Linked DNA regions of Daphnia pulex. Each later gene encodes a partner of the first gene's protein in a complex. Links are inferred from orthologs where the notes say so. Each region holds a gene or a part of one and is shown in the gene's direction. Other genes may lie near its edges.

What was found. The genes of interacting proteins can lie anywhere in the genome.
Region 2: bromodomain adjacent to zinc finger domain protein 1A-like (region 1) and chromatin accessibility complex protein 1-like share a complex: the UniProt entries of both Homo sapiens proteins name them as parts of the CHRAC ISWI chromatin remodeling complex. The link is inferred for Daphnia pulex from reciprocal best matches to the Homo sapiens genes BAZ1A and CHRAC1.

Annotation. Positions count from the first base shown.
Region 1 is NC_060028.1:6,190,493-6,194,869, reverse strand, and holds the start of bromodomain adjacent to zinc finger domain protein 1A-like, read left to right. Parts: upstream 1-1,504; 5' UTR 1,505-1,667; intron 1,668-1,992; 5' UTR 1,993-2,017; coding exon 2,018-2,130; intron 2,131-2,302; coding exon 2,303-2,441; intron 2,442-2,500; coding exon 2,501-2,836; intron 2,837-2,905; coding exon 2,906-3,019; intron 3,020-3,088; coding exon 3,089-3,411; intron 3,412-3,471; coding exon 3,472-3,598; intron 3,599-3,659; coding exon 3,660-4,022; intron 4,023-4,098; coding exon 4,099-4,377. Other genes in the region: carotenoid isomerooxygenase-like, read left to right, coding at 2-223, 287-574. UniProt on the Homo sapiens protein: Regulatory subunit of the ATP-dependent ACF-1 and ACF-5 ISWI chromatin remodeling complexes, which form ordered nucleosome arrays on chromatin and slide edge- and center-positioned histone octamers away from their original location on the DNA template to facilitate access to DNA during DNA-templated processes such as DNA replication, transcription, and repair.
Region 2 is NC_060025.1:6,928,252-6,930,769, forward strand, and holds chromatin accessibility complex protein 1-like, read left to right. Parts: upstream 1-1,332; 5' UTR 1,333-1,448; coding exon 1,449-1,583; intron 1,584-1,660; coding exon 1,661-1,781; intron 1,782-1,842; coding exon 1,843-1,919; 3' UTR 1,920-2,018; downstream 2,019-2,518. Other genes in the region: mediator of RNA polymerase II transcription subunit 12-like, read right to left, coding at 1-55, 119-278, 342-533, 619-726, 864-953; metallo-beta-lactamase domain-containing protein 1-like, read left to right, coding at 2,326-2,455. UniProt on the Homo sapiens protein: Forms a complex with DNA polymerase epsilon subunit POLE3 and binds naked DNA, which is then incorporated into chromatin, aided by the nucleosome remodeling activity of ISWI/SNF2H and ACF1.

The DNA of each region.
Region 1 (4,377 bases):
GCCTCCTGTAGACAAGAATTTTCAGAAACGTGAAAATTTAATAAAATTAGAAGGATCAAAATGCATTTCTTACTGGATATCAGACAAGATAATATTTTGTGAACCTGATCGTTTGTCAGATCTAAGTTTGGAACTTCCACGAATAAATTACTCTCGAAATGGATTAGAGTATCGATTTGCTTATGGAATCTCGCAAACGGACGGTTACGCCGAATCAGAAAAGGTAATTTTCCGAGCATAGATTCCCCCTCCGTTATTTGAAATATTTTACTTTTGATTTCCACAGATCTTGAAACTTGATGTGAATTCCAGAGATGTTAAAATATGGGCAAAAACTGAATTCAGTCCATCTGAACCTGTTTACGTTTCACGCCCTGGATCGACAGATGAAGATGACGGAGTTATCTTGTTTTCTGCAGTACATCAAGTTGATGTTAAGAAAGTTTTACTCGTGATTTTAAATGCAGCTACCTTTGAAGAAGAAGCTGTCGTAGAGTATGTTGCTTCTGGAGTGGTGACGAAAGATTTTCATGGCCTTTTCTCTCGAACTGGCGATGCATTGCATGGTTACTGATATGAAATGAACTCTTATTAAACACAAGGGAATTTTTCTCCCAAATTATGTACTCTCTAATCAAACTAAGGTATTTCAATTTTGTGGGCTTTTAAATTCCAAAGAAAAAATGCTTGTAACTATTGATTCCACTTAAATTACAAAGAAATACAAATACAATATCTAAATACTTGTTCTGCAGTTTATTTTTTTTTTTTTTTTTAATTGTGAATAGCGCTTCTGGTAAAGATTTTTGAATACCACAAGTGAATGTGAATTGTTGAATAATCAGTTTACCTAGTGTTCCGAGTAGGTAAACTGGGTCTGTGATATCACCAATGCCGCACATGTCGCAGGACGCAAACGTGTTTCGTTTTCAGACTGCCAACAAAAATTCTCCCTAAACCACATTTCAGACGAGTCGATTGCAAACGTTTAGTTGATTGCTTTGAGAAAGTGGCAAATAAAAGCACGATTCATTTTTCACCACATATGATAAAAACTCATCATATACAATAAAGGCCGCTATGTATATTTTCGATATTTGGGTATCGATTTATTTTTGTTACATCCAGGATCTAGGTTGTTCGTACGAGTGTTCCGTTTGGCAACAACCTATTAAATTATTTTAATTTGTTGAAAAAAGTTTTTTTTTTTTTTCATTGATTTAAATTTCTAATAAATCAATCGAAATCATTTAAAAATTGAAATTAAATATGAAATATATAGATGAGATAAAAAATGTGCTTTGATTTTACTGTGTTTGACTATTATATAAAGTACTGCTGCAAACTACATGAAGCCATGAATAAAATTTTCCGTTTCAAGCCGAACCGAACAAAATCCGACCCAACCTATTGAGTTCGTAGGTTTGCCGCCTTTTGCCGCTCCGAATACGACTAAGGGGTGATTCAAACAAAGACTCGCGCTCCGAGTTTCACTTGTTTTTTAATAACCTATGGCGCTGATTCGCGGGTTAAGTCGCCTGCTCTTGTACTCTTCTTGTATATTCTGAATGCACGAGGATTTAGAAAAATAACCATCGATGCAAGAAGGAAAATCTTGCAAATTGCTAAACAAATTATTTTTATCCACAGTCTAATACGCTAAATAGGTAAGTTTATTCAAGAACTCGTAAACTTAAAGCGCCAGCTAGCCGACTTTTTTGGATGGGACTTTTTGGCTCTTGTTTTCTCCCGGTTCGTTTTGGTGGTCGTTTCTAACGGTAACGTTGGCTTTGTGTCCCGCACTGTCGTAATCAGATCGTCTCTCGTATAGGATTGTGTCATTCATCTGGGACTATTACTAGTCGATCTTTTCCTTCACATTTCTTATTAAAAGTTACCAAAAGATGATCATTTTGTCTTACTGACATTTGTTGTTGAGATTTGTTTTGGCATTCTGTTCTCATCTCTTATACTGGTTCCTCTAAACTTCAGTGCACAGTGTGTATGATCAAACGCCATGCCGCTTCTACGTCGTCAACCGTTCGTTCCTCAGCCACCTCCACTTGATATTCGTCCAGAAGAGGAAATATTCTATTTCCCTGTGACTAATGAAATCTTCAGAGACTATGAGTATGTATTTGCTTTTATCCAACATAAGCTTGTTAGTGATCACAGTCAAGCATGTTTGCATATTGTGAATCTTATATGTTACCGTTTTAATGCAACTTTACTACTGATAGCATTCTATGTTATCAGACGGTTTGTGCTGTTTTTCATCATCCCTGTGTTTGTTTACTTTCAGAGCATTTTTTGAGAGGACCATTCTTTGCAATTCTTTGGTTTGGTCATGTTCATTGACAGCTAAAAGCAATTTGACTTACCAAGAAGCCATTGAAAGTGAAAAACGAGCACTGCAGTCTGTTAGTGACATTCCATTAGAGGTACTCATTCAATTTTTGTATTTATCTCAGATCACTGATTAACATTTCTTTATCACTAGTTGAGGCAACCTCTACTTCTCATTGCTTCCCTCACATGCAGAGGAAAAGTAAATGAAACATGTGATGATGTTTATTACTTTATGAAAGATCGTTATTTCAAAAATGAACATGTGGAAGCAATTCTACGCTCTAAGTGGTATCCTGCACAAGTAATACGGGTTGTACCTCCTACTATTGAAGAACTTGAACAGTACAAACAAGAACTTGATGATGAGCTCAGCACAGAGGATAAACTATTGATGCTAGATCAATATGGGCCTCCACCTGAATTATTTAAATATGAAGTTAAAGAAGAATTCAACAGCAAAGATGGATCTGTTGGTCCCATTCACACGGTATTTCGGATTTTAATATGATAACTTTATACCATTGCGCGTCTAAATTATCAACGCTTTCATTTCTAGGTCACAGTAGATTGCATTAGAAGAGAAAAAGGCTTTTACTCTCGAGAAAGGGTACGGTTGTACTTGCGATACTGCTTGCAGTTTGATGAATGCGAGGGTATCTGGGTTGTTAAGGTCAGTTTAGACTACGATTGATAATATTGAAAATTATCTTAATCACTCATTAAAAATTGTTTTTCTTAGCCTGAAGCATGGAACAAATTGAATATGGATTCTATCAAATACTCTGAATTTTTTACGGGCGAAAAGCCGAGGTTTGAAGAAAAACGAGCTCCAAAGAAAGTCAATAAAAGCTTGTCAACTAGTAAGGGAGGTGAGACGCCCAAAGCGTCTAAAACACCCAGAACACCTAAAACACCATCCAATGACAAAGACAGCAACGGGAAGGGCACTCCGGTAAAAGGTACCCCAAGTAAAAGAGGGCAGCCGGACGCAGTTCGGAATGCAAAATCCGCCACCAAAAGTCCTAAGTTAGATGCTGAAGCGTTGGCGAAGGAATTCATAAAGTAATTGAAATTTTTATTCGTTCTGTTTCTTTAATACTAAAATGTCAATTTCAATGATAGGATTCGTGAAGAACGCGAAACTCTTAGGCAAATGGCTGATCAGCGAAAGCAACAAAAGGTCGACGAGAAGTTGCTGGCTAAAGAAAAGAAAAAAGAAGAAAAACGTGTTATGGCTGAATACGTCAAAGTATGGTTGAAACATAATATAAATAGAGGCAATTTATTTTAACAAATTTAATCCATTTTAGGAATGGAGCAAAATCCGTGAGGATTTAGAATGCGACGATCTTAAAGATTTGCCTTCGCCCACTCCTATTCAATGTGCCATCCCTAACGGTATCTTTGGAGACTTCGTTATGGTGTTGGAGTTCTTCTTGGGATTCGGCGAAGAATTACAATTGAAAGATGCTTTTCCAGGAGGGCTTACTTTTGAACTCTTAGAACGCGCCGTCGTAGAAAACGAAGTGTCTGGTCCTCTTAGCGATATTTTACAAACATTGCTTAGCTCTTTGTTCGAATTTCAAGACGCTGAATCTGAAGAAGTTAAAGAAGCTGGAAGTACGACAAGTGGTGTTCAGGAGTCAGAAGTCGAAGGCGGATTAACTTACCAGGTAGGTGACTCGCATACTATTTCATTTGATGGCTTTAACCTATAAGTTTTTATAATATACATATTTTTATTTGAAGGGTACTCCTCTTAAGAAGCTGTCTATGGATTCCTTAACCGTATCAGAAATATTACGACTTCACTTAATATCGTCTGGTGGCGGTAGTAGTGAACTTCGTACAAAGTGGCGGTATCAACAAAGAGGTGGATATAGTGCTGCTGATGATCCTGGTGTTCAGTTGCGTCAGGAAGATCCTCATATTCTACATGCCTTGTCTCACAGCACGGTATACGAATTGCCCGTCGGTGATAAAATGAAAGTTATCAAATGCCTTTGTCATCAAATACTCACATATGCA
Region 2 (2,518 bases), on another chromosome or scaffold:
TCTTGTAGTTTCACAATTTGTTCCTTTATGAACCGGACCAATGTACTAGTCCACTCTATATAACAAAAAAATGATTATAATTGCAGATAAAATAAATTATTTAAATCTTGGAAACTACCTTGAGAGGAATCTGGAACTTGACGCTTTTTCATTTTGGCTTCAGAAATAGCCACTGAATACGCAGATGTCATCTTGATTAACCATATTGCTCTAGACATAGGAACCTGATATTCACTTAGTTGGATAAATATTTCTTCCTTCTTGTTGAATATTGGCACCTTGTAAAAGGAATCAAAAGTTGGTATTTTTATTTGTTTAAGATATTCTGAGTATAATATTACTCTTTTTCCTAGATTCATCAAAGGTTTGCTGCCTGCTAAGTCTTTGAACCAAGACTCAATGAATGCCTTGGACTTTGGAGTAACATTATGGAAATTTTCTTTGGGATTGATGAGTTGGCGTTTTCGGCCAGTATCAGGCAATGTGTTGATTTCTTGTTTTTTTGTAAGCACTCCATTAATAAAAGTTTGGACCTAACATTAGGAAAGAATAATAAAATGGTTGTCAGCCTAGAACAATCTATGAACATCATACTAATTACAGTAAATTGTAGTTTACCTTTGATAAAGAAAAGTTGTGATTTTTAGCAGATCCATACTCTTCAGACTGATTAAGATTGGGTGTATGAGAAAATCCTTGTTTCACATTGACAGGAGTCAGTTCATCCTAAAAATAGTATTCCAAATGTTAATGAAAGGAAAACATAAAGAATTATCCTTTTTTTTAAATGAAACTGCCTTTTGGCAACTAGCATTTTCGTACTTGGGCTCATAAAAAAGCTGCAGCTACATTCAAAATATTACCTCTTTTTGTTTGGGATCCTGTGGGTAAACATCGGGCGGTCCTAATCTCAATTTTTTAAGAGGACGATTTTCCATTGATAAACAAGCCATAACTAGCTCTAAAATCAATTTCCACGCAGAAGTATAAATTTGTTACCACACATCAATGTTTACACAACACAAGTACACAAGTAATCAAATACTTCTAAATTCTTATCAAGAGTTCCGATTTTCAGACCATGGTTCAGACAGATATATCAGTGTGATGGCTTTGCTACAACGTTGCATTTCTATAATTTGCTGTTACGGCACACATAAAGAATAATTGGAGATGAATGTATTTGAATTTTGGACTAATCGTAGTCTAGCAACTGAATTTAGAAATAGTTATTAATACAATTGGTATCAATTTATTATGAACAAATTAATGACAAAATATGCTCCTTGCATTTTCAATTTTCATTGATCACATCTTGGCAGTGCTGTAAAAGTCAGCAGACTATATTTTGAACATTTCTATTTTGGCATTTTGTTAGAAATTGTAGTGGCGCGGAATTGCTGAATTGATTGAAGTGAAGGACTAAATCAAGTGAAATTAAATTAAGAATGTCTTCCTTTAAACCGAAATTAGGAGACGGCTCCATAATATTACCACAAGCACGAGTAAAAATGATTATGAAGAGTTCCCCAGATACTGAGAGCATATCCACTGACGCATTATACTTTGTAACAAAAGCAACGGTATTTTTAGTTTGTTTCCAGATAATTTTTTCATCTTATTTTTCTCATCTTCATCTAAAATGTTTCAATGTTTTAAGGAGTTTTTTGTAGAACATTTAGCCCAAGAGATTTATGAAAGTACCAAAAAGTCAAATGAGCTTACTTACAAAGGTCTAGCTGACATTGTTCAAAAAAGTGATTCTATGCAGTTTCTCAAAGGTACTGTGTTACTAAATGGTATTAGTAAAATTTTAATTTATTATTATTATTGTGTTTTCAGATATGGTTCCTAAGAAAATAACATACAAGGAATATCAAGAAATTCTGAAGGAAAAAGGAAATGGTGACTTGTTTTGAGTGTTTATTCAAATTCATTTCTGTCTTCAACATTACTTGCTCATATTTATAAGTGTTCCACTAAGGAAAGTTCAATTTCAAATACATTGATTGAACCCATTGTTCCTTTACGATTCACATCAACTAAGATAGTTTGGTGGTTCAATAGACTGCAGTTAATGTACTGTTGTAATTAATTAATTGCGGTTTTATGTGACCATTTGTTAGCCTAAACGGGTGTGTCCGTATTTTTTTCTCCCTCAATTTAGCGTACGTTATTTTCAAACCACAGCTGCTGCAATAAGCAAAATGGCAAAGTTCAGCGTGTCACCCATAGATGGCGAAAAAAGCAGTCTAAAAAAACAAAACATTTGATTTTGATTTTTGACATTTTGACACTAGAAGGGCTACTCTAATTTCTAAAAGGATGGCGAACTCCAACCGTGTTACAGTAATACATACTGGATATTCTTCTACCACAATTGAGGAAAAAGACGAAAATCTTCCTTTCGTCCGTGCAAATTGCTCATGCGTATTGGTTACCGGCAGTAAAAATAGTAACAAACAGCACAATCCAAATATGTTCGCAATAACGTGATAACAGTTAATAAATTATTTTT